4 linked regions of the Struthio camelus genome follow. The main gene of each other region encodes a partner of the protein of the gene in region 4 in a complex. Links are inferred from orthologs where the notes say so. Each region holds a gene or a part of one and is shown on either strand. Other genes may lie near its edges. The genes, in order: KANSL3, PHF20, KANSL2 and KANSL1.

Region 1 (7,969 bases), on a different chromosome or scaffold from region 4:
GACTTCAGTGAACACAGAGAACGCAAAGCGAGCGTAGTCAAGCACGCGCTGCATTGGACCGGATTCAGCACGCCGACTCGTCCTCCCTAGCCCTCATTCACCGGCTGCAGACACAGAAGAGTCACCTCACTGCTCCGTACCACGATTTTCCTCTCCATTTCTGCTTTTTTTCTAAAATATTTATGGCCCCAACTGCATTTCACACAGCATCTGGCACTACACCATCCTCTGGCTGGCTGCGGCTTTATATACTAATACGTGCTGCAATGTAACCAGCAAGATGAGTCCCCGAAGCACAACTGCCACAGCTACTGCATGGATAGTTACTTAGGATCACAATTTCTTTCCTCTGCAACCCTGGCGCCCCGCGTTACCTGTTCACGTGTTCCTCCCAGTCATCTGGCGGAGGAGGAGCATCAGCATCCGTGCGCGCAAACATCACATGGCGCTCACACTCGTTCATCACACTGCGGGCTTTCTGGTTGTCGTAGAGCGGCACAGGCGTGGGCGTCACTGTTTCGACATCGATGGGGATATCTGCTTCGCTGTGAGGAAAATTTCACTTTAGAAAACGGGATGTAACCTGGAAAAAACCTGAGCGGATCAGAGAGCGCGCCTGATGCCTCAGGGATCTGTGTCTACCTGCCCCAGGTACGCACGAGACACCCGTGAACTTATTTTGTCCGTATTCCCACATCTCTCTCCAAAGATGCTGCGACTAAGTGGACTACTGTGGAATTGCACTCTTTGTAATGAGATCTTGCATTTGGAGAGCACACCGTGGGGACATGCTACACTATAAAAATCAAGAAGAATTTGTAACCAACTGGGACCTTGGGTCCAACTCTTTCCCATAAATCCTGACTCAGGCTGCAAGACCGAATGCTGTTCGGACAGTTGTTTAGATGGTGTGAATATAAACCACCGAAGCATCTTAGGCTTAATATTTAATAAAGTACCTATAGCTTCTGGCAGATGTTTTTAATCACTTTAGCCACTAGGCTTCATAAGCAGGTATCTTATCATTTCTGGTCTGAGACTAGGCAGTCTTTTTTTCCTGTTTTAAGCTCTACAAATGAACGTGCCTTAGAGGACCCTGCTAAGCCTGGTCTTCTCCTGCCAGAAGAGCTGCTGAGCAACTAATGTTTAAGAAAGCGAGTTTCGCGGCCAGCACCTGGGCCGTGACACAGGACAGGGAGAAGCTACTTCCTAGCAAAGGACCCAGAGATCATGGCCCAAAAGCAAAGGAGAAAAACACTGAAGACGCGAATGAGCCCTGATCCCAAAGACATCCCAAGCCGGGCACCAAATCCCTGAGCTCCAGCCTCAAGCCCATTCACAAGCCCAAAACCAAACGCTTGAGCCTTGACCCCCCCCGAATCCTGCCATGACCCCTCAAGCCCCATGCTGCGACCCTGAGCGCACCCCCATACCTCACCCCACATCTTCAGGCTGATTGCAACTCCAAACACAGCCGTAACCTCAGGTCTGTCCAAACCGCGCAGCTCCAGTCCCCCCACAGCACCCAAGTCCAGCCCCACAGCACGCACACCCCCCAGCTGCCCCCCAGAGTCCCCCCACTCCCCACTCCAGACCACCTAGCCCCACAGGAGCCCCCCACTGCCCCCTAGAGACCCCCCCACTCCCCACTACAGACCACCCAGGAGCCCCCCACTGCCCCCAACAGCCCCCCCGACCCTCTAGGAGACCCCCACTGCCCCCTAGAGATCCTCCACTCCCCACTATAGCCCCCCAGACACCCCCCACTCCCCACTACAGCCTCCCTAGCCCCACAGCAGGCCCCCACTGCCCCCCAGAGACCCCCCACTCCTCGCTACAGACCATCCAGCCCCATAGCACCCCCCTAGAGACCACCCACTCCCCAAAATAGCCTCCTCAGCCCCACAGTAGTCCTCCAGAGACCCCTTACTCCCCACTACAGCCCCCTCCAGCCCCCCAGAGACTCCACACTCCCCACTACAGCCCCCCCAGCCCCCTAGGAGTACCCGAGACCCCCCCACTCTGCTCTACAGCCCCCCCAGAAGCCCCCTAGAGACCCTCCACTCCCCCCTACAGCCCCTTAGAGGCTCCTACTCCCTCCTACAGGCCCCGTAGCCCCCAGGAGTCCCCTAGGGACCCCCCACTCCCCACTATCCCCCAGGAGCCCCCCAGGCACCTCCTACTCCCCCTTACAGCCCCCAGGAGCCCCCCAGGCACCTCCCACTCCCCCCAACAGCCCCAATACAGCCCCCCAGACACCCCCTATTCCCCCATACAGCCCCCTAGACACCCCCCACTCCCCCCTTACAGCCCCAATACAGGCCCCTAGACGCCCCTCACTCCCCCCTAACAGCCCCCCCAGACACCCCTCACTCCCCCTCAGCCGCCCCCCAGGAGCCCCCTAGACACCCCACTCCCCCCCAGCTCCCCAGGAGCCCCCCCAGCCCCCCTACAGCCCCCCAGGAGATCCCAGACACCCCCCACTCCCCTCCAGAAGCCCCCCAGACACCCCCACTCCCCCCCAGAGGCCCTCTAGAGACCCCCACTCCCCCCCTAGCAGCCGCCTAGACACTCCCACTCCCCCCGAGCCCGCCAGGAGCCCCCCCCAGCCCCCCTACAGCCCCCCCTCCCCCCCGACACCCCCCACTCCCCCCTACAGCGCCCTAGAGGCCCCCCACTCCCCCCCACAGCCCCCCAGACACCCCCACGCCCCCCCGCTCCGGCCCCGGCGCTCACAGGGCGCTGTCGGGCTGGCGCCGCGGCGTGACGAAGAGCATGCGGGTGGGGCGGGCGGCGCTGGCGTCGGGGTGGGCGCTCCAGGGCTTGGCGTAGCTGTGGTCCAGGCACACCAGGTCCAGCTCCCGCTCGTGCACCGACAGCTGCAGCAGCAGCGACGTCCCCATCCTGCGCGCCGACCACTGCAGGTCCCGCTCGCCGCCGCCGCGCTGCGACATGGCCGCTAGCGCCGCCGCCGCCGCCGCCCGCGCCGCATCCCGCGCCAGGGCCGGGCCGGGGGCCGCGCCTGCCGCTGGGGCCTGGGCCGGGGCCGCCGCGCCGCAACGCGCATGCGCCGCCCGCCCGGGGCCGGCTGGAGCGCGCACTGGAAAGTGCGGAGCGGAGTTTGAGGCCGGGCGGAGCGGAGCGGAGCGGAGGGCGGCGGGGCGCGGTCAAAGCGCGGAGAGCGGATGCAGGCGGAGCGGAGTGTGAGGGAGAGGCCCGGTGCGCGGGGGCACGGGGACACAGGGGGACATGGGGACACAGGGGGACACAGGGGGACATGGGGACACAGGGGGACACAGCGACATGGGGACACGGGGACACGGGGGAATAGAGACACGGGGACACACGGACATGGGGACACAGCGACACACGGACACGGGGATATGGGGACACGGGGGTACACAGGGCTATGAGGATATGGGGACACAGAGACACGGGGACATAGAGGCACAGGGACACGCAGACATGGGGACACAGTGGCACGAGGACACAGTGGCATGAGGACACAGCAGCTCAGGGACACAGCGATATGGGGACATACGGACATGGGGACATACAGACATGGCGACACAGGGACACAGTGACACAAGGACACAGCAGCTCGGGGACACAGCGACATGGGGACACACGGGCACGGGGTCACAGTGACATGGGTACACACACATACAGGGGACACGGGGACACGGGGACACCCTCCCCCCCCAAGGGGACATTGAGACACCAAGACAGAGTGACGTGGGGACACAGCCCCGTGGGGACACAAGGACCCAGGGGCATGGGTACGCACCCTCACGGGACGCCAGCACACACGTGGGGACACGGGGCACCCACGGGTACGGCCTGGCACAGTGACACGGTGGCACCAGCCCCCGCGAGTGCAGGCAGACACAGTGCTGCGGGTGCTGCAGGGTGCCATGGGGTGCTTTGGGGTGTCATGGGGTGCTGGGGGGGGTCACAGAGTGCAGGGGGTGCCATGGGGTGCTGCAGGGTGCCATAGGGTGCTGGGGGGTGTCAGAGAGGGCAGGGGGGGTGCCATGGGGTGCTGCAGGGTGCTGAGGGCACCATGGGGTGCTGTGGGATGCCACAAGGTGCTGTGGGTGCCATAGGGTGCTGCGGATGCCTTGCGGGGTGCTACAGGGTGCCATGGGGTGCCACAGAGTGCCATGGGGTGCCGTGGGGTGCTGCAGGGTGCCATGGGGTGCCGTGGGGTGCCGTGAGGTGCTGCAAGTGCTGTGGGGTGCTGTGGGGTGCCATGGGGTGCCATGGAGTGCTGTGGGCTGCTGCAGATGCTGTGGGGTGCCATAGGGTGCCACAAGGTGCTGCAGGTGTCCTGGGCTGCCATGGGGTGCCGTGGGGTGCTGCAGATGCTGTGGGGTGCCACAGGGTGCCACAAGGTGCTGCAGGTGCCCTGGGGTGCCCTGGGGTGCCATGGGGTGCTGGGGGGCACGCCACGACCTGAGACAGCAGCAGCAGCAGCAGCAGGCCCGGGGCAGCCTGTGCTTGGCACAGGGACCCTGGGGCACCGTCCGTCCCCCCACTGTGACCCGGCGTTCTGGAACGCGCCGCCGGCACCTCGCACCCCGGCTCGGCACCCTGCGCCCCGGCCCAGCACCCAGCTCCCTGCGCCGACATGCTGCGCCTGGTGGTGGCCAGCGCTCGCATCCCCGCGCCGCGGGCGCCCATCGCCGACGTGCACGTGCGCGCCGAGTTCAGAGGTACCCCAGCAGCTGGGACGGGGGACGGGACGGGGGACGCCTCCGGGCAGCACCCACCCGGCACGCACCCAACCTCCTCCCTGTCCCCAGGCGTCCCCAGGAGCACCCGAGTGGTGCCAGGCGAGCGCGACACAGCGTGGAACGAGGTGAGGCCACGTGGCTGCAGCGGTGGCATCAGCATCACTTTCCCATGATGGTGGCATCACTTTCCCGTGGTGGTGGCATCACTTTCCCGTGGTGGTGGCATCATTTTCCTGCAGTGGCAAATCACTTTCTTGCAGTGGTGGCATTGCTTTCCCATGGTGGCAAATCACTTTCCCATGGTGGTGGCATCACTTGCCCATGGTGGTGGCTTTCCCGTGGTGGCACCACTTTCCCGTGGTGGTGGCATTGCTTTCCCATGGTGGCAAATCACTTTCCCATGGTGGCGGCATCGCTTTCCCACGGTGGTGGCATCACTTTCCTGCGGTGGTGGCATGACTTTCCTGTGGTGGTGGCATTGCTTTCCCATGGTGGCAAATCACTTTCCTGCGGTGGCCGGCAGGAGCCGAGCCCCAACGCCCCGCGTGTCCCCGCAGACGCTGGTGTGGCCGCTGGGCGCCCGGCCGCTGGAGCCCTCCGCCGTCGTGGCGCTGTGCCTGCGGCAGTGGGGCCGCCCAGCCACCAACGGGTGAGTGGTGGCAGACGGGGACCCTTGCCGGGGCTGCCGCCGCGCTCACCGCCCGTCGCCCCGCAGGGACCTGGGTGCCGCCACGGTGCCGCTGGGGCAGCTGGTGGCGGAGCCGAGCCGCCCGCTCGCCCTGCGCAACGTGCCGCTGCTCGACCGGAACCGCCGGCCCACGGGGGTGAGCGCCCAGCACCTTCCTCCTCCTCGTCCCGGCGGCACCCGGCGGTGCTCACGGGCACGTTGCTTCGCAGTGCACCGTCACCCTTAGCTGCTCCTACGTCCCCGCCGGGCACGAGACGCCGCGGGCGCCCAGCAGAGCTGCCGCAGGTGAGGACGCCTCCTCCCGCCCCGGCGCTCGATTTGGCCGCGGGGACGACAATGCGCCGTCCCCTTTTGCTGTGCCTAGAGGTGCCGCGCGGGACCCCCTGGCCGAGCCCCGGGAGGGAAGCGTCGGGAAGGAAACAGGATTTCCAGGTAACGCCGAGCACCGGCGGGGAGACTGCGGCAGTTTTTTCCCGGCCGGGCGGTCGCAGCACCCATCGCGTCCCCGCTCCAGGTGCGAGTGCGGATCATCGAAGGGCGCCAGCTGCGCGGGAACAACATCAAGCCGGTGGTGAAGGTGTTCATCGGCGAGCACGTGTTCCGGACGAGGATCAGGAGCGGGAACAACCCCTACTACGACGAGGTGGGCGGGAAACAGGGCGGGGAGACGGCGGGAAGCGGCGCCGGGGAGTGAGCGGCGGTGATTGCGGCTGCCGGCCCCTTTCTCCCCAGGTGTTTTGCCAGAATTTCCGCGAGACGCTCGCCGGCCTCTTGGAGCAGCCCATCCACATCCAGGTAGGACGCGGCGGCGGGCGCGGGTGGCCCCGGCGGGGCCGCAGCCGATGCCGGAGCGCGGGGCGGCCGGTCCCGCAGGTGCTCAACTCCCAGGCGGTCCGCGCCGAGTCCGTCATCGGCGTCTTCAAGGTGAGGGGCGACGGGGTGGGGACGGACGGGGCGCGCCGGAGGAAAGGGCCGCCGTCTCACCTTCTCACCCGCACCGGCGCGCAGCTGGACGTCGGCAGCGTCTACAGCTCACCCGGTAGGTGGGCATCACGGCGGTGGCGGCAGCGGACGGGGTCCCCTCGGTGCAGCTGCTCAGCATCTGCCTCCGGCAGGTCGGACGCTCGCCTGGAAGTGGCTCGGCCTCCACCACCCCGACCGCCTCGACGCCGGCCTCCGAGGCTACCTGCGAGTCAGCCTGAGCGTGCTGCGCGCCGGGGACCCCGCGCCGGTGAGCGTCCCTGCAGCCAGCCCCGCTCGGGCGGGCGCTGAGCTTCGCCGCCGCCGCCGCCATCCACCCCATCTCTTCTCCGCCAGGACCAGGCGAAGCCAGCCGAGAGCGAGGACGTGGAGGCCAACCTCCTGCAGCCCTCCTCGCTCCCCGCCTGCGTGGCAGCCCTGCAGCTCCGCGTCTACCGGGCCGAGGACGTGCCCCAGGGTGAGCGCCGGCGAGCGCGGGGACGGGTGCCGCGGGCTGCTCCTCCGGCACGGCCTCATCCCCGCCTCTCTCCTTTCCCGGTGTAGAGGATTCGGCTTGGCAACATTTCCCATCCGCGCTGCCCACCGGCAGGAGGAATTTCCTTGCCATGGAAATCAGCTTTGCCGGCAGGACGGTAGGCGTGAGGGCTGCGGGCGGGCTGCGGCGATGCTCCAGGCCGGCGGCTCACGGCTCGCCGTGCCGCAGCTCCGCACCCGGGCCGTGCCGCCCAACGCCAATCCCGAGTGGAACGAGGTGCTCTTCTTCCCGCTCCGGGTGAGACGCGCCAGCCGGGCTGCAAAACCCGGGGCCGTGGGCTGCGAGGCTTCGAGAGCGCCCACGCAAAGAGCCTGCCCGCCGGCGCCCCTGCCTCAGCCTTTCTCCCTCCTGCCCCCCAGCTCCCCTACGTCTGCGACGAGATCCGCCTGGCTCTGCTCAGCGGGTAAGCGGGTGCCCGGCGAGCTGCTGCTGGCTCCCCAGCCTCCCCGCAGCAGCCTCTGAGCATGCCTGTGGCAGCCCTGAGCATCCCCACAGCAACCCCCCAGCATCCCCACAGCAGCCCCCCAGTATCCCCTCTGCAGTCCCCCAGCATCCCCACAGCAGCCCCCCAGCATCCCTGCAGTAGCCCTGAGCATCCCCACAGCAACCCCCCAGCATCCCCACAGCAGCCCCCCAGTATCCCCTCTGCAGCCCCCCAGCATCCCCACAGCAGCCCCCCAGCATCCCTGCAGCAGCCCCCCAGCATCCCCACAGCAGCCCCCCAGCATCCCTGCGGCAGCCCTGAGCATCCCCACGGCAGCCCCCCAGCATCTCCACAGCAGCCCCCCAGCATCCCCACAGTAGCCTCCCAGTATCCCCACGGCAGCCCCCCAGCAGCCCCGTGGCACCCCCCCAGCATCCCCATGGCAGCCCCCCAGCATCTCCTCTGCAGCCCCCCAGCATCCCTGCAGCAGCCCCCCAGCATCCCCACGGTAGTGCTGAGCATCCCCACAGCAGCCCCCCAGCATCCCTGCGGCAGCCCTGAGCATCCCCACGGCAGCCCCCCAGCATCTCCTCTGCAGCACCCCA
Region 2 (8,001 bases), on a different chromosome or scaffold from region 4:
AGGCAGACTTCAGCTGGCTGTATTCAAGCAAGGTTGGCCAGAAGTACTCAAGCCCAGTAAAAAACAGACAAAGGCTTGTCAGCAAATTAGCAAGACTCAAAAAACAGTAAATATTACATACTAACATGCACTATTTTCTGCCACATGCATCTGCAGTCAGTGAGAACGGCCACACTATACATCTACACACAAGTGATCAGTTAAATTTGGTGCTTCCATCCACCAAAAAATGCTTTTTACAAGAACACTGCCTGAAAAGCCACCAGTCCCAAGAAGTTTTTTGGAAGATATAGGTCATGCTACTACTGGCATTTTGACAGTAAGCACCAGATGACAGCACTTAGTCACTATTTCTTACCTGAAGAAAGTCTTTCTACAGGAAGCACAAGATAACAACCCTGTGGACAAGCAAGTAAGAAAAGTATGAAAATGATAAAAAAAATAAAACAAAGTAAAAAAAGAAAAGTAGACATGTAGAACTGCTGACAGAGCCGCTACAAACGCTCCACAAAACTTTTCAATATAAATGCAACAGTAAATCCAAAATATCTACAACTATTTTTTTTTTTTAAACCCTGCACCCACACAACTAGGCAAGAATCAAGAACACAGTTTAAATACTGAGCAAGGGCAACCACTTGCAGGGCTAAACAATAAACCCTCCCCCATGCACATTCTTTAGCTCAGCTCACAATGCTGTAGCCCAAGTGCTCACATCTGCACAGGACAGTGCCATATGGGCAGAAATGAGAAGTGGCAATATGGCTTTTCTATAACAGTGTTAGCTTATGTCAAGGTCTGACAAATTACAACCACAGACACCATTTAGTTTCCAGAGATGCAGTCACAGATCAAAGATACAGTTACACAAAACTTAACATCCCCTACAAATAAATTAGAGATCACACTCTTTCCTGAACAAGGGGGAGAATTTAGGTCAATATCATTGCCTAGGTGATCCAGGATGTACAAGAGCAAAAGAGTGGCTTCAGAGAACTTACCCAATTAAAAGTAAGAATTAATTATGCGCTTCTTAAGTTTCAGCCAAGACAGCACTGTTATGAGCAATTAATATTCTAGCCTCATTCCCAACTTGACCTTAATTAATTACCCTGGATTGCAGGCAAACAGATTTTACTCTCAGAACAATGAAGTAAAATTTTATTTCCATTTAGGAAACACTAACAAAGTTATCAGCCAGAACATAAACTGAACTCTCCCACAAGCTAACTTAAATCAAATAACAAGTCCAAGTCTTCTTCAACTACAGAACTATTAAGACACACAAAAATTGAAAAGAGAATCACACTATGAACGATCCTTGTCGTAACTCTTCTCACTTCACTTTTCTGGAAATAGGTCCTGTGAAGCATTCCTTACTCAGATACAAACAAATAAACAAACCTAGATCAAAAGCATTTCTGTTACATACTTTCTTAGCTATGACCTTCTGCACAGATGCCTACAAAAAGTTGTTTCAAGTTATTTATTAGTATAGTATTTTAACAAATAGGGTTTCATCTACTACAGCATACATTATTAAACTACCTACACTAACAGAAGGGAAGAAATATATTTTACCCAGTTTGTACTCATCCACACTCAAATATCCCTTTTGATCTGTTTTCACATGTTTAAATTAGAAACACTAGCTTGGGATCAAAGAAGCATTTCTAGCACTGGGAAGACTTCAAATAGGTAAAGGAGATGTAAAGGTTTCCCAAAATTGCACTGACAGCCTGCTTCAATTAACCAAGCCCTACAACCATTATACTATGCATGTGCACCTCAAGCCAACTGGTCCTATAATCCAGTTGTGGGGCAATAAGCCAGTATAGTGGAATTCAGATCTCCTAGGGAAAAAAAAAAAAAAAAAAAAAAACACAGCACCTCCCCATTCTGTATGTTAAACAGGTATGACACGAGGTAACTTTTGGATCATTGCAAGGACCTGTCTTTACCTCCCTTTTTAAAAGGCTTTCTGAAAGGAGAAAAACCAGAAGGAAGGAGATGCATTCCACACTTCTGCTGACACAAAAAGGCCAGAAACCTCCAGCTGACGGTACCACCTACAGAAATCAACACCTTGCAGGGCAGGTACCTTGCCCCGTGCAAGGTTGTTCCCGCTTCGTCCCCCGGGGCCCGGCGAGAAGCGGCCGCCGGCGCCCCCCCCGGGCCGCGCCAGCACCCGCCGGGAGCGCCCCGCGCCGCTTCCTGACGCGCCAGCAGCGCCGGCCTCCGCCAACGGCCCCCGCCGCCGCGCCCGCGCCCACCGGCCGACCACAGCCCGCGGCGACACCGCGCAGCCACCCGCCGCGGCCCCGCCCGCGCCCGCGCCCCGCCGCGGGATACGGCCCACCGCGGCGCCGCCCAGACCCGGCCGCCGCCGCCGCCGCCGCGGCCCCGCGCCGGCCCCGGCGCCGCTGCAAGGTCACTCGGCCGCCCCCGCCGGCCGGGCCCCGCCGCGCCTGCGCTCGGCGCGCACATACTCACCTGCCCGCGCCGGGCCGCGCAGCTCCGCGGGCGCCGGGAGGGAGCGCGCTCGGCCCGCGCCCCAGGCCCCCCCGGCCTCAGCGCCCCAGGCCGCGCCGCGCGGGGGCGTGAGCGCCGCCCGCCCGGCCACCCCGGGGGCCGCGGGCGCCATCGGGCCCGGACTGCGGCGGGGCCGCCCGGGAGGAGCCGCCCGCTCCGGCGCGACGCGGCGCGGCCCTTTGTGCGCGGGGACGCGTGCCACCCGCTCCGCGCCCGGCCTCCCTCCCCTCGCCTCGCCTCGCCTCGCCTCGCCCCGCCGCAGGGCCCGCAGCGCGGGGCAGGCGGCGCTGGCCCAGCCGGCCCCGGCCCGGCCCGCCCGGGCGCTGCCGCTCTCTTACCGAGGGATCTGTACGGGAAAAAGGGGTTAGAAAGGAGCTAAACCGCCGCCCGGGCCCCGCTCCGCGCGCCGAGCCCAGCGCCACCGACCGCGCAGCGCCACAAAATGGCCGCCACGGCTGCGGCGCCGCCAGCCGCCGCGAGGGAGGGGGCGGGGCCTGGCGGCAGGGGCGGGGCCGGATGCGGCGGGGCGGGGCCGCGGGGTGGGCGGGGCGGGAGGCGCCGCGGCCCCGTCGAATTTAGCTTGGCGCTGGGAATGGCGTCGTGGTCCCCCGAGGCCTGCCCGAGGAGAGGCCCTCCTCTGCTGGGCAGCTCTTCACGGGCGGGCCCGAAACCCTGCGCTGGCTCAGCAGCTCTCCATTGCAAGCTCCTCTTGTGTGCAAGAGGGCCACAAGCTCGGTCCCGGCAGCTAAAGTAGGGGAAAATGGCAGGAAAAAGCCATACTGCTGCATGAGAACGTGCCGGGCCCCGTTGCCAGGGGTCCGCAGGCGGGAACACACGGCATTTCGGGGGGTACAGTGAGAGCAGTGAAGTCCTTTGCTGACCGATCCCAGACGCTGGCTTGCAAGGAATAATTGGAGCCGCTCGTGTGCACAACTGGCAGCGCCACAAGCGCTTCCTTTCAGAGAAAGTGTAAAGGAAAAGACTTTTGTATTTTTCAGAGCTCCATAAAACACAGTGAAATATGAGCAAAAATGAAAGCAGACTGGCAGTCTGGGTCCACCATGAACTTCGCTGCTCAGATGGCTGGTTCAGCACCTCTCTGAGGTCTGTTTGTCTGCCTAAGCATAAAAACAGAAAAGGATTTAGGGAGGATGTAATCTGAGCAATGTAATGGCTCATAGAAGGGCGATCTTCGAATCAGGCTACTCAGGGCCTTATCCAGTTGAGTTTTGAGTATTTCCAAGGCAGCAGTTCCCCTGCCTCTTTGGGCCCCTGGCCCAGAGGGCCACTGCTCTCACGGGGAAAAGTTTTTCCTTTATGTCCAACTAGAATTTTCTTTTTTGCAGCTTGTGCCCCTTGCCTCTTGTCATGGCACACCTCCGAGGAGGGGCTGGTTGCGTCCTCTCTACAGCCCCCTGGAGGCAGAGAGACCGCTCTCAGATCCCCACGGAGCCTTCTCCAGGCTGAACACCTGCAGCTCCTCTGGCCTTGCCTCACGCCCACCAGCCTCTGAGCATCTTAGCAGCCATCCGCTGGACTTGGGCCTGTTTGGTGACGTCTCTTGCTCTGGAGGGCCGAAACCAGACACAGATAAGGTCTCACCAGTGCCAAGTACTGGGGAATTACCACTTCCCTCAACCTGCTGGCTACACTTTTGTACAGCTAGGGAGCTCTGCATTCTTCCATAGATACAGCATTTTACAGAGCCAATGAAAGAAAAAAAAAAAAAGAAGATGAAGAATTTGAGTTTTATGCTAGGTTAAAGCCAAAACCAAACTGATACAGAAGAGCAAAAATCTTTGCAGGCTGAAGTTCTCAACTGCAAATATTCCGGTATTTGTCACTGTGAGAGAATAACCTCTTCTGCTTCAGGTGATTTTCTCGAGATAATCCATCATTTTTGTGCTCAGCGGCCAAGCACAGACAAGTGCGTAATTGTTACCTATCGGCTGTTGGGAAAAAAAGAGTAACTGCTGTGGCCACGGTATGTGCAGCGAAGGGGATTAGCATGCAGTGAAATCTGTGGGTACTGACCGGCTCTGGAGGAGGGCAGGGGAGAGATTAGCCAGCCGCGACGACTGTTTCCTCCCGACAGCACACAGCAGCCTGCGGGGCACGTCTGGGTCCAAGCCCCCCTTATTAAAAGGGCTCATCATGGGGCAGAAACAATTCTGAAGTGATTAGTTAAATTAGTAAAGTTTTAGTCTATCATTAAATGTTTATAATTACTTCTATTACAAATTATTATTTCAGGGAGAAAAGCTGGAAAAAAATAATTTCCATCAGAAAGGAGTTGCTTTTCTTTTTTTTTTAATTTTCAGTTTACCAGAAAAGTCAAGTACTGGCATGCCCTGTCTCCCTGCCATGTATCGCCAGAGTGTGGGTTGGGTGCAAAGGAGTAAGTGGGCAAAGCACAATCCTGACTCTAAATGCCTTTCTGCTTTGTCTTCCTCCTCCCAAATACCCACAGAAAGTGCTGATGCTGCAAAAAATCTGGCTGCTCCGATGACATCAGCCTCACCCCAGCGCCCTGAGCAGCGCAGGATCCAGAGCGCACAAAGGTGGGTTTAAGGCAGAGTCGCCCCCCCCCCCCGCACTGTTTAGCTCCCTGCCCGCTTACGCTTCTCTAATAAAGCAGCGCTTGTGAGCTGTGCACTGGGAATTTGTGGAAGCAGAATGACTTACTATAAATACCATCACAGAAAAAAAAAATGTGGCAGAAAATTAAGCTTATGAGTTTGATTTTTTTTTTTTTTTAGCCTGGAAATCTTGTGTGTGGTTTAAACACTAAAGGTGTCTGGAGGCAGGAGAAAACAATTCAGAATGAATTAAAATAGGAAGCAGCTAAAAAGAAAAATCACTCCAAAGTTTTGAGGGAAATAGATTTTCTTTTTTTTTTTTTTTTTAACTCTCACTAAAATGTCAGTGTACTGCTTCTGTATTTGTTTTTTAAGAGCACTGTATTTCATTAAGGAGTTTTCATCATTTTAAAAAACACTGAATTTTGGAACATCTGTTATGAAAAGGTATATATCAGAAACCACTTCCTTCTCTGTAGAAGCGGGTCTTTCTAATCTCACTGTTTTTGAGCTGTGGGAAGTAATCCCTTGCTCTTTCGCCCTTTCACCCCCCCCCCTCCCCGAGAGCCGACTGCTCTTGGCAAGCCATGGAAATGGCTATGCCAGTTTGTGCTCTTTTTTTCCTCGTGGCTTGTCCAAGACTTAAGATTTAATATCTGATGTCGGCATTCATGGTTAACGCTGCCGGAAGCTCTCAAACGTTGGCCGTACCTGCCTGTTTGAGCTGACCACAGAGCGGCAGCCCTTCCCAGCAAACAACGCTTCCCTTGCACCGGCCGCTGCAGCGAAGGGCAGGGCTGCGTCTGCCGCGGGGCTGCCGCTGCCCAGCACAAACGGAGCAAGAGCTTCCGCTGCAGCACACCGGACTGAAGTACTCGTTTGCATCGCAGACAGATCCCAGGCCCTCTCCAAGAGAACCCGCTCAGCTAATCTGGGTCAGTTGGGATGCAATGTTTCCCCACACATCAAAGAAATCACTAAATATACCTGCAGGCAAATTAAGCTTTGTGGATCAATAATCCTTTGCTTGTCTTCTCTGGAAAGAGATCCTGTCCTCACTCGCACAATCTTTATTTTCATTTGACATCAGAGGTGGAATAAACCCACCCTGACTTACTGTCAGGGAGCAGCAGGATCAGGCTGCTCCGCCGGGACAGGCGAGCCGGAGCCAAGGTGATGGCAGGGCAGTGCCAGCCCTGGCATGGTGTAGCCTCTGTGCAGGAGGGTCCTGCAAGAGCAGGTCCAGGGTCAGCCAAGAGGCCAGATCATCAGTCAAATCAGGTCCAGGGTCAAGCCAGGAAGTTAGTCCTCAGTACAGGGGCAGAGGCCAGCTCAGTGAAGTCCATGGCCAGGCACATGCATGGCTAACACAGCTCAGGTAGAGGCCAGGGGTGAGGGCATGTGCTTAGACATGGCTCCCGAAGAAGAGGAAGATCCCAGAGAAGTTTCTTCCAGCTCTTTCCCTTCATGGCCAGCCATACAGAGCTGGCCTTGAGCACAGGCAGCTAAACTGGTGGAAAGTACACTCCAGGCCCTGCCACTTCCCTCGCCTGCAGGAGAGCTGAGCTTGTAGCCAGCCTCCCCATCTCTCAACAGAGAAAATCAGGCATGTGGCAAGGGCAAAACATCCAACCAGCCTCTTGCCTGTGCTTCAGCATGAGAGGAACTGTGCTGAGAAAATGCCTCTTGCATTGACTATAAAAGGAGGCTAAACCAGCTCCAGCAGAGCTGTCTGCAAGGCCAGCCTCTGCATCAGTTGGTGTCATCCCATGCAAAAGACACTCCCTTCCTCCTTGATGAGCTACCCAAGGGACCGGCACGGCAGCTGCGAGAGGGTGGCTCTGTGCCTGTAGAGGTTTATCTTTGCCTGCACAAGGGCCTCTGCCAGTGAGAGGCAGGGAGCCCCCAGCTGCCTTCTGCGCAGCCCACGCGGGGTCACTGCTGTCTGTATTATAGCAGCTCATCGGCAGCAGGGAAGCTGCCGCTCCCAGGGGTGCGGGAACCCTGAGCTCATCTACTGCCAGGCTGGGCTCCCCTCTCCCAGAGGGGACCTGGGACTGTCCCACAAGTGGATTTTGCAGAAAGTCTGCCCAGGGTGGGGATTAGATGAGGACCAGCACAGGTCAGTGGAGTTTTTACAGACTCAGCTGGGCATTGTCCCTGCCCTCTTACACCAAGGTGCATGCACCAGTCCAGTGTCCCGCTCTTCTCGCTGTGCCTCACCCCTGATCATACCTGCTTTCATTAGGGTGTTGCTGGAGGTCCCCTCAGGTCTGGCTGAACTCTGGGCCTGGTCCCAAGGTGCACATAGAGGTGGGGGAGGAGGGACTTGCCAAGTTAGTGCCCCTGCCTCACGGCTGCACTCCGTGTCTGGGCAGTTTATAGCTCAGGCTGGTTTCTCGCTCCTGCTTTATTGGCCAGAGCAGCTAGAGAGGCTGGGAACCCACTGCATATCTCCAGGGAAGGAAATCCACCCTCAACCTGTGTCCTCAGGCAGGGCAGGCACAGCCGCATCCATGGAGCGGTGTGGGGGAGACATGCAAACACATGGGCACTTCTGCGTCAACACACCTGGTCATGCGCTGTGCTGATCCATGGAGGGGGTGAGCTGTAGCCCCCCCCTTCATCTCCTCCTCCTCCTCCTCTTGGGGCCATCTGCCCCTCTGCGGTCCCTGGAGCAACGTGGTCTGGCTGTCCTGTGCTCTTCTGTGTATTTGTCCTGCCCTAAGAGTAAACAGGTAATGCAAAAAAGAGAGAGGGCCTGCTTCTTCTCCCCATCCCTGCCCTCCACAACCCCCCTGTGACCCTTGGCGGAGACCTGGTTGCTGCTGTTGCCTGTGATCTGAACAGGGTAAGGGCTGAGTTCAGAAAGCACCAGATTTTGCACAAG
Region 3 (7,290 bases), on a different chromosome or scaffold from region 4:
CCAACTGCAACATCATTAATAACGTCATCGCTTTAACATAACCGCCATCCACCCTGGTATCACCCGGAGTTCAGGGCGTTCTGCAGGACACGCGTAACCAGCTAGGAGCCGCCACCACCACCCAACTTACTTCAAGGGATCCTCCTGGTCGCTATCAATGCTGTCAGCCTCGCTGTCCGGGTCCCCTCGCCACGTCTGGTCCACTGTGATAGGGTCCTGCTCGCCGTCGCTCCAACTGTCGTCATCTGCAAAGACAAGTCTCCGTGAGAGGCAGGACCCTGCCCTGCTTCCCAGGGCTTGTTACTCCAGCACAGGGCAGCCAGGGACCCCGGGGGAGGCTGTTCCACGGCAAGTACGGAGGTGAGCCAGCTCTGTCTCTCCTCCAAGAGAAACTTCTCCCCAACACAACGTGAGCGAGCAATATGGTACAACAGGAAACCCACCAATTAATTATGTGCAGCCAAAATATACAGCTCCTGTGGAGTAACATTCTTGCCTACTTAAGAACCACGAACCGCCTGCCGGCTCCCCACCGAGTGACCCTGCAAGATGGGAAGCTCACCACCGAGCTGTAGGGAACAGACACATCTAACAGCAGTGTTTGACAGGCACAGCAAGAGACTAAACAAGCAATGAGGGGAGCTTCCAGACACGTCTACCGAAGAGAACCCACAAGATTTTGGCCTGGTGATGGGACATACCTATAATGTGACTTATCTGCAGTCACTGGTAGGCAAAACACACAGGGGTGTGGGACACGATCTTTTGCCACAGACCCCAGGATCCCTTTTCTACCACTGGATTTAATAAGCAACGTTCTTGGCGTTTCCAAACAAAAAAGAGAACTCCTGGTTCTCTCTCACCGGTTTTCACGTTAAATTCTTACCTAGGATTCGACTGGCTTCACTGCGGCTACTCTCTGCAGTCTGGGAGCCCAGCTCTGTTTTGGCGTAAGAGCTAAGCTGGCAAAGGAGAGTCTCGCTTACAGGTCCAGGATTGGACTTTTTCATCTGAGCTTGGAGTGCCAGAGTATTCCTACGGGCATGTTCCGCGCAGAACGACACACTGAGCAAATAAATCAAAAACACGTTACGACTCCAAGCTCTCAGTCAGCCAGCAAAACGAACAAGCGATACAGTGAGAAACGCTCCCTGCCATTTGGAAGGCATACCCCACTCCACAGCTACCCTTCGTGAGCAAAACGTAACCATCTATCACCGGCTGCCGGTATCGTTCAGAAATGCCAGAGAGCCCCAAGTGGTTCGCAGACCACACACCACCATAAAACGCCACCTCTGGCACTGAAGCCGGCAGCCACATGGCACAGCAGCAGGGAGAGAAAAGGGCTTTTTACTTCAAGCCGCAGAGGTAAACTGCTTCCAAACATTCACGCTGGACTTTAAAGTTTTCGTGCAGAGCACGTTGGCCCACATTAGATGCATCCTTTTTATCGCAGAGGCACCAAGGGCAGAATCAAGACTGCTAACGTTCAAATTTCAGTGACCTCTGGGAAGTAAATAAAGGCCGACGCTCCAATAACTGCATTCTGCTGACGTGTTTACTGGGTGTCAATAATTATTCTAGGCCTTTTCATCTGTAACAGCTGGAACATTTTACACGCATCAAGGAACAACAAGCACAACCAGGTCATCAACTCCAAATAATACATGACCAGAGGATCTGTAATACATGACCAGAGTATCTGTGTTGAGGATTAACCCTAAGCACAGACACAGACAACTCGAGTTTGCCAGGGTTAGCTCAGGTGCAGCACCATGCGGATGCAACCGCAGCTCCCACCAAGCACCCTGGCTCCTGAAACAGCACAGCCACCTTCTGATGACAGAGGGCAGCAGCCTGATAGTCCTGCAGGACCAAAAAGACTCCATGCAGAGCTCTCAGTGCTCACAGTCTTTCTGCTGGATTAACAATGCTTCAAAAATGGAAAATCACTTGTCTGAGGTTAACATAAGCGCAGCAGCAGAATAAGGAAAAGGACCTGCAGAGACCTATGCCTTCACCCCATGGTACTCTTGCTTCTGCCTCTTTTAACTCTATACAGTACAGAGCAAAGGACTGGGAAATGGAAATGCTTACCCATCCTTTTTCTCTGGTTTGGGCGCAGCGTTTGGACACCGCTTTCCGTTCTTTGTTGAAACGTAGCTGCACTGCTTGAAAGGAGCAGTCCTGTCTTCCAGAATATGCTTAATACAAAACTCCTGCCCTTCCAGCCGTGGCTGCGAACACTGGCGGTGAGTAAAGGCACATGACAGAGGTTCCTGGGGCCGCGGCACAGGAGTAAGGCGTCCTCGACTTGACGGCAAAACATGGATCCGAATTCTGTTCATGCCAACACCTGCTAGAGAGATACAGCTCCAATTAAAAGAAATTAAGCAAACGACTGATAAAAAGAAAGAGCAGTCTCTGCTAATACCTGCCAACTTCTGAATAAAACTCTTTGTCCTCCTGGGACGAGAAACTGTTCCTACAGACATAGTTTCATGGGAAACTCGACTTCACAGTAACCCCAATTCGGCGGCAGAGGAAACATGCTTCACTTAGGTACCTGAGCTTCCAAGCGTTGCCACCTGCCAGCAGCGTGGCCAGGGGTACGTTTTCCAGACCCCCTTCCCTCTCTGCACAAACCCTCCACGCCCCAGCGGGCAACCGCTCCAACCCCACCATCCCAATATGCAACCCCTTCCTCCCAGTGCAGGATCTGCCACCCGATACAGAACCATTCCCTCCAGTCCCTCGATACCAGGCACCTTCCTCCCTGTGCAGGACCCCCCACCCCTCAAACACCCTCCCATATACACCTCCTTCTCGAGTGCCCAATCCTCACCCCCACCTTTGCACTCCCTCAGTGCAGCACCCCATGCTCCCAATTCACAGGTCACCAGCTAAGCCCCAGTATAGGATGCTTTCGTCCCAGCGCACCCCTAAGTGCTGGCCCCCCCTACTCCCGGGGCACCTCCATGCATGATTCCCTTCTCCCAGTGCACCCCCGTGCAGGTCCCCCTTCCTCCTGGTGTGCCCCCCCTGCACGGCCACCACCTCCTCCTCAGGCACCCCCCCGTGCATGTTCTCCCCCTCTCCCGGTGCACCCCTCGGGGCACCCCGTATGGATCCTACCCTCTCCCGGTGCAACCCGTGCACGGTCGCCTCCTCCCCGGAGCACCCCTCAGTGCACCCTCGTACAGATCCCCCCAATCCCGGTACACCCCCGGGGCACACCTTGGTGCATTCCCGTGCAGACTCCCCTCCACTCCCGGTGCACCCTCCCGGAGATCCCCCCCCTACCGGTGCACCTCGTGCACGGCCACCTCCTCCCCGGTGCACCCCCATGCAGATGGCCCCCCCCGGTACACTCCTCGGTGCACCCCATGCAGATCACCCCTCCTCCCGGTGCACCCCCTCGGGGCACCCCGTACACGGCCGCCTCATCCCCGATGCACCTCCCGGTGCACCCCCCTAGTGCACCCCCTGCACGGCCGCCTCCTCCCCGGTGCACCCCTCGGGGCACCCCGTGCACGGCCGCCTCCTCCCCGGTGCACCCCTCGGGGCACCCCCGTGCAGAGCCGCCTCCTCCCCGGTGCACCCCCCTAGTGCACCCCCCTAGTGCACCCCCGTGCAGACCCCCCCCCCCGGTGCACCGCCGCCTCCTCCCCGCGCACGTGCTCCGCCACCCGCCTCGCGCCGGGCCCGCGCATGCGCCCTCGCGCCGCCCGGCTGCCCCGGCGCCGCCATTTTGTCCGCGGGCGGCGGGCGTGAGGGGGGCTGCCGAAGGGGCCCAGGTGGCGGCGTCGACGCGGAGGACGGGGCGGGGGATCGGTGCCCGCGGCCGGGACGGGTGGGGAAGAAGCCACCGGGGGAGCGGGCAGGCGGCGGGGCCGGCGGGCTCTGCTCGGGGCGGGCGGCGGCGGCGCCGCCGCCATCTTACCTCGCTCGCGCCCCAGCCTGGCCGCCGTCTGCGCCGCGCGCGCCCGCCCGCCCCTCCCGCCGCCTCACTGGCTCGCCCCGCCGCCAATCCGCGGCGGCCGCAGGGGCGGCGCCGCACGCCGTTGGCCGAGCGAGCCGTCCCTCCGCTCAGCGGCCGGCCACGCCTCCTCCCCCCTGGGCGGTCACGTGGAGGGGGGGCGCGGTGGGAACCGACACGTGGGCGCGGGGCCGCCGCCGCCGCCGCCAAGGAAGAGCTCGGGACACAGCGCTGCAGCTCGGCTGCCTCCTTTGCCGTTCACTTTTATTGATGTGGATAAATACACAGCGAGAGACAGTGCCCGCGAGCGACCGAGCACCGGCGCCGTGCCCGGGGAAGGGGGGGGGGGGGAGTGTCCTTACCGGGCGCCCTTACCGGCGGCCGCTGCAGCCGGTGAGCGGAGGCAACGCAGCCGCGGCCCCGCCGCGGGGGAAGCGGGGTTGCGAGCACCCGGCAGCCCTGAGTGAGAGAGGAGAGACGGAAGCAGGTTTCGCATTTTGGCTCCGGGAAGGCAAAAAGCTCCCGGTGGCCGCGGGGCACCGGCTCGGCCGCCGCCCCCCCCCCCCTTTCCCCCGGGAGCTCCCCTGCCTTTGCCCCTTCCCCTGCAGGAGGGAAAGCTCTAACACCGGTTACGGGCTAGAGCAGGTAGCACACGTCTATCTGGTTTTTAAAAAGTTTCCCGAAGTTTAAATATTTATAAATGTTTTAAGAATAATACTCAAAAGCACCTTCCTTACCCTGGCTTCGGCTCTCGCTCCCAGCGCTCGCCCGAGCAGGGAAGAGGAAAGCATGAGGGGAGGCTCGTGTTACCCCTCAAGCCCCCCCATGGGGAGGTGGCAGGTACAAATCAGAAACAGCTTTAGATAGAAAAAGAAAATTTAGGTCTGCGGCCAGGTGTTCTCTGCCGGTACACGACAAACGCCCCAGGCTCTTTCCGGCAAGGAAGAGGGACGCACTTTGGGGGTGCCCAGGAAAAGCTTCTTCGCGTTCAAGAATATAGCCTGAAGCACGGCAGCAGGAAACCCAGAGACAGCCCAAACTCGCGTCCAATAACCTCCTCTGTCCTATCACCTGAATCCACCCTGGAGGTAAAGCCCCCGGCCACGCTGAGGGCCTTCGCGCATCCCCCATCTCACGCGCCCAAACACAACACCAGCTCACAGCCACACAAACCACAAGCGCAGCCTTAAACAAAAGGACGCAGAAATCACTCAGAAGAGGATTGCTTCTGCTGGTACCGCCTGCGAGACAGAGGTGCAGGGCACCCGTCTCGCCTCCACGCGTAGGCCTGAATGGGCACTAAACGCTTAAGACCTGCCCAGGAGACGCCTTCGCTTGTGGCAGATGTCTCCAGCCAGTGTGGCAGTGACCCTGCAGTTAAGGCTTTTGCAGCAACAAGAACCAGACGTGTAGCTCGTCTTGAAGATGCTCAAGTTTTCCAGGACACGCGCAGAGACTCACTAGCGCGTTACACTCGATACCTCCCTGCAGAGAAGGCTGCAGCTGGAATTGCTCCCCTACTGAATAAGGGAAAGGGCAGCACGATTCGCCGCAACGCCTGACAAACCATGCCGCGCAGGCTCTCAAAGCACCCAGGTAAGCAAGAGACAAATCTCTGCTGGGAGCTTCAAACATAAACTCTGTACCTAAGAGGTTACCCTGGTGGTTGACCAGCTCCAGCAAGCTGGCACTGGCAAGGGTTAGCATTACTGATTGCTCTTTAAAATAAGAGGAACTGGATGTAGAACAGAGTTTCACAAAAACATAAGGAGACAGTACGTTTATTGAAGTTTGGAAAAGTATAGTCCGAGAAGAAAATAAGTCGGCTTTTCCAAAACGTTAGACTGAAACTTCCCACCTCCAGCTGGATTCCCTGTTCCAGGATTTAGGTAGCAGTAAAAGCTAGGTTTCCAACTTGGAGAGATAAGGGTTGCGAACAGCAAAGTGCACACAGGATTCCCTGTCCAGCCAGCAGGATCTTGTGCCTGACACCGGGCCCAGAGCCGAGGAGGATCTGCAGTCGCTCAGAAGCTGCCCGCCTTGCCCATTTTCATCGTATTTCCCAACTGCGAGACCCGCGATGCAGCTCCTCTCAGATTAAGCCCTGTGCAACTACAGACCACATCTGTCAACGTATTTCACGTTTATACCCAGACTAGGCTCTACGTGGCTTACATGCTCGAAACACCATTTCCCAGGCTGTGGTCCAGCCAGCTCCACACCCTTCCTGCACAGCTGCCAGTGGCACCCTGCAAATGGACTCCTAGATTTCACGTTAAGCTGATATTCTGCCAAGGTATCATTCTAGCCAGCTCCAATGCAGCTCTCCGTCAACCCAGCCGGGCACCCCTTGGGCACAAGCCCACTCCGCATACGAGGCCCCTCGCCTCAGAAGCCGAGCAGTGCTGGGCCAGGCCAGCCACACGTGGGCAGCTCCTCCGGACCCTCTCCCCAAAACCGCCACCTGAGGTGACAGACAGGCCCTCAGCCAAGCCCGCAGTCACCAACCACCTCGCCCTGGATGTTCACATCGCACCAGCTGCCACGAAACACCACCACCAACACCCCAACGTTTCCGCAGCCCTTTCCATAGCCAATGTTAAGAATCGCGATCCGTAACATGACTTAAACGCACCCCGTTCACAGCTCTCCCCGTTCGCACCCCTGCTTCCCTCTCCCGCATCAGCTCCGCACCACCAGGAGGTGAGCGAGGTCTCACCGCGCCATGCTGACTCCTGGCCCTTCTGCTAAGCAGGTAACACGCAAGGTGAGGCTGGCGAGACTCTCCTTCACCATCACCCCAGAAGCCACAACCTCCAACATGCACCTTTCTCCCATGAACCGCCACCTTTCAGGGGGGATTTTTCAGCAGAAGCAACGTGACCTGCCAGGCAGTCTCTCGTTCAGCAGGAGGGGAAGAGCTGAGGGACAGAGGAAGATACCGGATCCTCCCCCTTCGCTCAGAGAGGGAGAGACAGCCTAAACGAGAGCCGCTTTTGCAGATGAGGAAACTGAAACAACAGCAGGCAGAGCAACTCCGAATTACCCCGAGTCGGCAGCAGCTGGGATTCCCTCCGCTGCCCCGGCCGAGCTGCCTCCAGCTCCTGCCCTCTCCTCGCACCACTTCCTCTGCTCCATCCCCGAAAAGCTCCTGAGCCACTTTCCATCGCCAACAGCTCGAACGGAGCCTCCTGACCAACGAGACGCAGCCTGAGCCCTTCACGAGGGTCCCCTGCAGCACCTGCCAGCATTACAAAATTAAAATGAACAAAAACACTAAGATATAAGTTACTGCTTAAATTATTTGTAAA
Region 4 (7,821 bases):
TAGACAGCATAGGAACAGGAGACATACTCGTACATTCAGGAAACAAGGTCCGACTATATCCACTTCACAAGAAGCCAATACCTCTAAGCAAAACTGCTGAGAGGACAGGAAAAAGTCTGACACAACTACTGTCTGCAGATCTTCCTTGGTACGTTCTCCAGCAGACTTTGGCTAGCTATATGCAAACCACTGTCACAGGCAAACCTCCCTCCTCTCAACTCCTGCCAGCTCGAGGACAGTAGAGAGGATCTGGTGTTATCTTCCTGTGTGCCCATTGCTGATCCACTCAGTCGGAAAAAGCAGACATCTTTAGTACCCCTCCTATAACCAAAAAGGAGGTTCTCTCTCAAGCTGCCAGGCATAGGTCCAGGCTGCACGGCACAGAGACCACCAGCAGCTTTTCTAGCTAGCAACATAAGGATGACATTGCCCTTCAGTTCTGCAGCAGTTTAAGCACTTTAACATTTTACTTTACTGCCCCTCCTCCAAGCTTCCTAGACTGAAGCACAAGGCTAATTAACTCAGATTTTTAATCAGAACATTTTGTTGCACAGAGCAACACTACTTTCAACTGTAGTAGACCCTCATTAGTTGGCATATAGCACACTTAAATCATAGGACTGACAACGTCTTAAGGCGACACAAGTATCCATGCAAGTGTCAAACTTCATACAGCCCTATAGTAGGTTTGGCCAATACGTTGATCTCTGGCGCTTTTGAAACAGGGACTGATCTCCAGAGAAGCGGCATGATGACTTCCTATCACTTTCAGGAGGAGTTGTAGGAACACAGACTTCTGAGAAGAAAGCGTTCACATTTAGCGATAACCTCCAAAACCTGTAACAGGGAGCTTTATTTTCTTATTTAAAGCCCACACAAGAACTTACTGTTATTAGGCATACACAGAATAAGAGCCTTTACTGTTGTGTTAGCCAACTGGAGATCAGATACCAGAGCAGATTTGTCTAATGTCAGTGTGAAAGGATTGAGCAAAGATTTTAGGTTTTCCTATTACAAAAGAATTTGTCTAAATTCAGTCCTCCATAATCGGACTGAAGTCAGGCTGCTTTGGCTTGTAGATCCATGAAAAAAGGGAACTATCCTTCCCTTCTATGTTTCATTTCAGCTTGTATTCAGATTCACTAACTTGATTATTATACCCAACTGCTTAGGACACAGCTCTTTTACTGTAATGACATTATCAGGATAACACATGACTTCTCAAAACAAGCACCAGCAAATCCTCACAACCATCCTTCCCAGATACAGTAGCACTATGGCCACTTCACACATGGGAAACCCAGAGGTTTGGGAAGGTGAGCAGATTTGCCCATCCGAGAGAACTTCAGTTTTCATGGGACAAAGCCAAGTCTATTAGGCCACACTAAAAGGTATACACAGAAGTCTCTTGAAATTAGAAATACACATAGAAGCCAGACCATGTCAGCAAGCAAAAGGAATCTGATAGCTGTAAACCTCTGTTTTAAGGATGCACATAGTAAGGGAACAAACAGAAGAGATCATTCTTTTTCATGGCAAGTCACACTTCTACATCCAGATGTAGTACATGAGGACAGGTAATACCAGGAAATACATACGTATACTGCCAAGAGGAGGCTGCACATCTCCTCGCTACATACGGGCATTAGAACCGTTTTTGAGAGAAACGCTCTGCGTATATGGAACGAAGCCACCTTTTCAGCCGTATTCCTGAACCTCCATGTTAAAGTTAAACATTTGCCAGGAAATTAGCGCGGAGGACCGGACTCTTCTCGTAAAATCAGAAACTAAAATAAAGCCTGTGAATACAACTCAGCATCTCAAACTCTGGTAGTTTTGCAGTGGGCGAAAGTCTAAGATTCTAGCTTACAATGGAAGAGCAAAGAACGGGAGCTCTTACCTCGCTGGACATCTTGGTAAAATCCATCCTCACCGACGGTAGTTCAGCAGGGACACCCAGCAGCGCGGGGAGGGACTTTGAATCCTTCCAGCCTCGACGAATTCCTGGTAGGTCTGCGAGTTCTTTATTTATTTATTTGAAGAAGTGGAAAATCCAGGATCTGTAAGAAGGGGTTGGGGGGGGGGGGAACAAAACGTAATTAGAGGGAGCAAACGGAGAGACGGCCAACAGACAGCACACCGACTTGCTTCCCTTCGCGGCGTCGTGCCGCCGCCTGCTCGACGTGCGGGGCCGGGGCGGCGGCGGCCGCGCCCCCGAGGGCAGCGCCGGGCCGGGCCACCCGCCGCCGGTCCCCGGCAGCCGCGTCCCACCGGACGGCGGCGCGGGAGGGGGGGGGGGGGGCTGCCCCCCCCACCCCGAGGAACGGGCTGAGCTCCCAGATCCTTCTAGAAGCCCCCCCCCCCCGCCCCGGGATCCTCCGGGGCTTCGGTTTCCTTCGGAAACCGTTGGGCTAAAATGGAGGCTCGGGGGGGGGGGGGGTGTTGCGCTCCCCCGCCCCGCACGCAGCCGGCCCCGCCGCGGCGGCCGCGGGACGACGGCGGGGCGGAGCGCGGCGGAGCTCGCCCCGGCGCCCCGCGCCCGCCCGGGCCCTCGGGCCGGCCCCCCCCCCCCCCCGGCGTGCCCCGGCTCCCAACTCACTCGGCGGCCGCGCGAGCCGCCCCCTCCCCCGCCTCGGCCTGGCGTCTCGGCTCCGGCCGCCGCCGCGCACCGGCCCGCGCCCCCCCCCCCCCCCCGCAAACGAGTTGCGGGACGGCGGCGGCGGAGTGGGGGGGGGGGAAGGGAAGGGGGCCGCACTACTTGGCCTGGCGCTGCCCGTGGGCAGCAGCGCGGGGAGCAGCGGCGGGTCCCCTCCGCCAGCAGCGTGGCGGGGGTCTCCCCCCCCCACCCACCCACGGCGGGTGGCCCCGGGCCGCCCCCACCGGGAGGGGGGGGGGAGGGGGGGGGCACCGGCCCCGGCGGCTCCCACATCCCAGCACCTACCTGCACAGCTCAACCAGCCTTGAAGTGGGGACCTTCCGCCCTCCTCCCCTCCCATTGGCTGCGCGCGGGGCATGGGCCCGCCTGGTTGGCCGGCGCCCCGTCAGTCAGCGCCGGGGGGGCGGGGCGGGCGGTGATTGATGCCGGTGCTCGGCTCGTTCCTGCCTCTCGCTTGTGTTTCCCGGAGAGGCTGGAGCCGGGGGGGGGGGTGAGGGGCACCGGGCCGCCCCCCCCCCCACACACACACACACACTGCGGGGCGGCCCCGGCGGCAGCCCGCGGCGGCGGCGGGCGGTGCGGGCCACCCTGTTGCTCTCGGCATCGGCCGCCGCCGGGGTTGGGGGGGGGGGGGGGCCGCAGCCGGCGCCCCCCGGGGCTGCCCCGCGGCCCGGCCGGGCCCGAGGCGGGCGGCGGCGGAGCCTGTGGCCGCCGCCCGGGCCTGTCCCCGGCGGGCTCTGCTGTGACACGGGCCGGCAGCGGCTGCCCCGGGCAGGGCCCGGCCGAGGCGCGGGCTGCGGCGGGCGAGCCGGGCCGGGCCGGGCCTCACGGGGCCGGTCCCGCCGCCGCCACGGGCCCGGCGAGGGAGGCGCCGGCGCTGGGGCCGCCCTGCGGGGGACAGGCCGGGCCTGGCGGGGGGTGGGCCGCGGCGGCCTCGCCTCAGGGCCGGCGAGGGGGCACGGGTGCCGCCGGGGCCTCGTGTCCCGCTGGGGACCGGACAGTCGGGTCCCACGGGTGACACGGGCCTCGTGTCCCACTGGTGACAGGACAGTCGTGTCCCCCAAGTCACACAGGCCTCATGTCCCGCGGGTGACACAGGGCTCGTGCCCCACAGGTGACACAGGCCTCATGTCCCACTGGTGACATAGGGCTTGTGTCCCATGAGTGACAGGATGGTCATGCCCTGCAGGTGACATGGGGCTCATGTCCCACTGGTGACAGGACAGTCGTGTCCCACAGGTGACTCAGGGCTCATGTCCCACTGGTGACAGGACAGTCGCGTCCCACAGGTGACTCAAGGCTCATGTCCCACTGGTGACACAGGGCTCATGTCCCACTGGTGACAGGACAGTCATGTCCCACAGGTGACACAGGCCTCATGTCCCACTGGTGACATGGGGCTTGTGTCCCATGGGTGACAGGACAGTCATGTCCCACTGGTGACACAGGCCTCATGTCCCGCTGGTGACAGGACAGTCGTGTCCCATGAGTGACTCAGGCCTCATGTCCCACAGGTGACATGGGGCTCATGTCCCACAGGTAACACAGGCCTCATGTCCCACTGGTACTAGGACAGTCATGTCCCGCAGGTGACATGGGGCTCATGTCCCACTGGTGACAAGACAGTCACGTCCCATGGGTGACACCAGGCTCCCATCCCCCAGGTCCCGTAGGCTTCTGTCCCACAGATGACGCAGGACACGCAGCCAGCCAGGGAGGGACATGGGGAGGGTTAAGCAGCAGCAGCGGAAGAGCTGAGCGCGCGAGATGGGGACAAGGGGGCGAAGAGGAAGCGCTGGGAGAAGGCACGACAGAAGCGCACAAAATGAGGCAGCCTGGGAGGCTGCTGGCGAGCGTTTGGGCTGCAGGAGGGCCGGAAATAGCCATTTCTAGCATTTGTAGGGAGTGTTAGCTCCCTGGATTGCTGGTGGAGCTGAGCTGCACGCACGCGCTAAGCAGAGGGTCCCAGGGTGGGAGGTGCAGGGAGAGGCACCCAGGGGACTGTCATCTGTCTGCTGTCATCTTCACACGGGATCTTTACGCTGGGACGAGTTGCTCGGCTTCGACGTGCTGCCAACACCTTCTGTACGTCGTTCTCTGACCTCAGCTAAAATGGTTTTGAAACTCCTTCCTGCACTTTGTTCTCCTTCAACAAGTGGTTCAGATCTTCATCTGAAAACTGGAGACTGTCCCAAGCAGTCCTGCTTGGCCAAAGTGGAAAGGTGCAAGCCTGCAGCAGATCCAGACCAAGAAGAGATCAGCTAACACGAGGAGAGCACTCGCTGCTCTGTGGGTAGCTCTCTGTCTTTGGCCACATCTGTGCTCAGGAAACGGTGCGCCTTGGCTGTCGAGTGAATTAAGTTGGAGTTTCAGTACTGTAGCAGACTAAAGTAACCCCAAAGCTGCTCCCTGGAGTTTATCATGACCCACTAACTTGCCCAAACGCTGCAACCTGTCTGGTGAACTCTACCGTGATCGTGCATCTTACAACGTCACATCTTTTCTCCCAGACAAGGTAAAGCCTTCCCCTGATTTCTTCTTATTCTGCCTTCCCACTTGAGTAGACATAATTGATGCCGTGGCGCAATTTATCCAGTTGCTGCCACTAGGTTTTTTTTTTTCAGTTTAGTTTTTATCCATTTCATGAGCTGGTTTTAATTCAAATAAAGGCAAGAATCCATGTCCAGCAGGTCTGGGACAAGATAAGCTCCTTTGAGCTTAACCGATGGTCTGGAGTTTCCTAAAGCAGCAATCCTGAGATGTTTTAGTCGTGTCCTAAAGAGAGAATAGCTGAAATGCTTGCAGCTTCTAAGGGATCATTATGTCTCAAGCAAGTTGTTAGGAGAGAGAAGCCAACATTTTTGCATATGAGAAATACCAGAATACAAATATAAAAAAGGAACTGCACTTGTTTCAGACAGGCAGCAGTGAGGTCCTGCAGTCTTTGGTATTCTTTGTGCACTAATTGCCAAATTAGTATATGATGCCTTGTATTGGGAGCTTAAAGCAATGAGAGTAACATAGTTTAGCACTCTAGATTTCCAAGGTGTCCAGAAACTAGTCAGTTGACTCTATGATCCTTCCATGCGACAAGAATTAGTATTTCCATTTGGGGAAACCGAGGCAGAGAGGACATTTAAGTTGCTCCAAATGTGTTAACAGCAGAGTCAACAGTAACGGTTCTTAATGCCATGGCTCCTCCCCAGGACAAGCCATCGTAAAATACCTCAAATGTCTGAGAAAGAGTGAGTTCTGCTGGATATTTCAAAGGAAGAACGTCTCAGTTCTAGCTCTGTGGGCAAGCAGCAGAGCTGTGATGGACACCTCCGGATCCATTTTAATCTCGAGCTTCCCTTCACCTCCCCAAAGTCCAGGTAGTTCCAGCCACCTGATGGTGCTGATGGAGAGACACTGTTAAAACCAGAGGCTTTGCATGGGATTCGCTGAACGTTTGTAACTCATCTAGTGTGTGGAAGCAGATCGCCTTCTGTGTCAGAGGATTACCATGCATTCGTTACTAAATGCAGGTAGTCTTTTGCTGTTGAACAGGTATTTTAAGTTTTAAGGACCAAAATGACAGTTGAGTTTCAGAGGAAACTTCAAGTAAGACCATTTAGATGCTGGCCATGCTCCTGTTTCTTCAAGATTGGCTTCTAACTTTTCTAAGCGTGTCTAATAATATACATCAGCAGCGGAGCTGAAGCTGGATTTCAGCAGATTTGCAACCCCTCCTTCCAGGAAACCCTGCTGGGGGGACCCCCCGGTGCCCACAGCGGTAACCAGCCGAAGGAGATGCTCCTCCGGGGGGCTATGTTTGTGCAAATGGCTGAAAATAACTCGTCAGCTTTTTTTTTTTTTCGACGACGTGGGCTAAAAGCGTTACCCTCCTGCGACAACTCAGCTCGTCCGTCTTGGGCGCCGTCTTCAGAAAAACGCGGCTGAGCCGCTCGCGCGCGGGTCTATGCAGAGGACTGGATACCGTGCAACCAAATCTCCTCCGGCGGTGGAGGTTGTTCTCTGGCGCAAGACAGCTCCTCCGGTGGGGGGAAACGTCCCGACCCGGCGCCCCGGGCCGGGTTTGTCCTACCCTCCGTGACGGGAGGTACCCGGCTCCCGAATCGGTGACAGAAAGTACGTCCGCCTCGCCCAGCTTGCTCTGAAGGCAAGCGCCCTCCTGATGGCCTTCGAAGGACCCGCGGGCACGTGGCGTGGACTTCCGGCCCTGCTGAATTTCCTGGCGAAACTCCTCTGCGTTTAAATGAAAGTTCACAGACTTCTGACGCGGAGCGGCCCCTTTTCGCCCTCCTCTACCTCCCCGGCCCCGGGAAGGGCAGCTGGCGCGCGGTGTTGGCCATCGGGCCGCGGACACCCCTGTGGCGAGGAAGCCGGGCTCTGCGCAGCGCTGCCGGCGAGGAAGGGCCGTCGAAAAGCGGTGTTTTCTCCCCCAAAACAAAGCTGAGGGCCGCAGCGCCGGCGGAGGTTCGTCACCCCCCTGGAGCGCGTGTGTCACCCCCCCCCCCGGCGTGGGTGTTTCGGGGGGGGGGATCGCTGCGGTCTCCCTCGCCGTGGGGACGCCCCACGAGGAGGCCGCGGCCCTGGGTTACCTGCCTCGCGGCGGTGCCCTCGGGCGAGACAGCGGGATGCGGCCCGTCTCCGCCCAGCGGGAGCGCCCAGAGGAGCGGCGGCGGTGGCGGTGACGGCGGCCGGACGCGGCCTTGGCCGGCGCTGCCCTCGCCCCAGGGCGAGCCGGGCCGGGCTGGTTGACATGGCCGCCGGGCCGGGCGGCGGTGGGTGCGCTGGAACCTTCCACGGCCCAACCACCGCGGAACCGCCAACCCGCCGCCCTCCCGTCCCGTGTGGGACATGCCATGGCCGCCCCATGTTCCCATCCTCGTGCTGGGCACACATGGTCACCTCATGCTCCCACTCCCGTGTTGGGCACACGTGGTCGCCCCATGTTCCCGTCCCCGTGTTGGGCACACGTGGTCACCTCATGCTCCCACTCCCGTGTTGGGCACACGTGGTCGCCCCATGTTCCCGTCCCCGTGTTGGGCACACGTGGTCACCTCATGCTCCCACTCCCGTGTTGGGCACACATGGTTGCCCCATGTTCCTGTCCCCGTGTTGGGCACACGTGGTCACCCCATGTTCCCGTCCCCGTGTTG

What was found.
Region 1: KANSL1 (region 4) and KANSL3 share a complex: the UniProt entries of both Homo sapiens proteins name them as parts of the NSL complex. The link is inferred for Struthio camelus from reciprocal best matches to the Homo sapiens genes KANSL1 and KANSL3.
Region 2: KANSL1 (region 4) and PHF20 share a complex: the UniProt entries of both Homo sapiens proteins name them as parts of the NSL complex. The link is inferred for Struthio camelus from reciprocal best matches to the Homo sapiens genes KANSL1 and PHF20.
Region 3: KANSL1 (region 4) and KANSL2 share a complex: the UniProt entries of both Homo sapiens proteins name them as parts of the NSL complex. The link is inferred for Struthio camelus from reciprocal best matches to the Homo sapiens genes KANSL1 and KANSL2.

Annotation. Positions count from the first base shown.
Region 1 is NC_090968.1:1,247,937-1,255,905, forward strand, and holds the start of KANSL3 (KAT8 regulatory NSL complex subunit 3), read right to left. Parts: upstream 3,006-7,969; 5' UTR 2,955-3,005; coding exon 2,737-2,954; intron 546-2,736; coding exon 375-545; intron 1-374. UniProt on the Homo sapiens protein: Non-catalytic component of the NSL histone acetyltransferase complex, a multiprotein complex that mediates histone H4 acetylation at 'Lys-5'- and 'Lys-8' (H4K5ac and H4K8ac) at transcription start sites and promotes transcription initiation.
Region 2 is NC_090959.1:1,298,320-1,306,320, forward strand, and holds the start of PHF20 (PHD finger protein 20), read right to left. Parts: upstream 3,013-8,001; 5' UTR 2,871-3,012; intron 399-2,870; exon of another isoform or gene 359-398; intron 1-358. UniProt on the Homo sapiens protein: Methyllysine-binding protein, component of the MOF histone acetyltransferase protein complex.
Region 3 is NC_090969.1:1,056,997-1,064,286, reverse strand, and holds the start of KANSL2 (KAT8 regulatory NSL complex subunit 2), read right to left. Parts: upstream 3,006-7,290; 5' UTR 2,814-3,005; coding exon 2,567-2,813; exon of another isoform or gene 2,496-2,566; coding exon of another isoform or gene 2,486-2,495; coding exon 2,435-2,485; intron 2,360-2,434; coding exon 2,098-2,359; intron 1,066-2,097; coding exon 887-1,065; intron 246-886; coding exon 131-245; intron 1-130. UniProt on the Homo sapiens protein: Non-catalytic component of the NSL histone acetyltransferase complex, a multiprotein complex that mediates histone H4 acetylation at 'Lys-5'- and 'Lys-8' (H4K5ac and H4K8ac) at transcription start sites and promotes transcription initiation.
Region 4 is NC_090966.1:4,396,984-4,404,804, reverse strand, and holds the start of KANSL1 (KAT8 regulatory NSL complex subunit 1), read right to left. Parts: upstream 3,002-7,821; 5' UTR 2,942-3,001; intron 2,177-2,941; exon of another isoform or gene 2,061-2,176; 5' UTR 1,901-2,060; intron 1-1,900. UniProt on the Homo sapiens protein: Non-catalytic component of the NSL histone acetyltransferase complex, a multiprotein complex that mediates histone H4 acetylation at 'Lys-5'- and 'Lys-8' (H4K5ac and H4K8ac) at transcription start sites and promotes transcription initiation.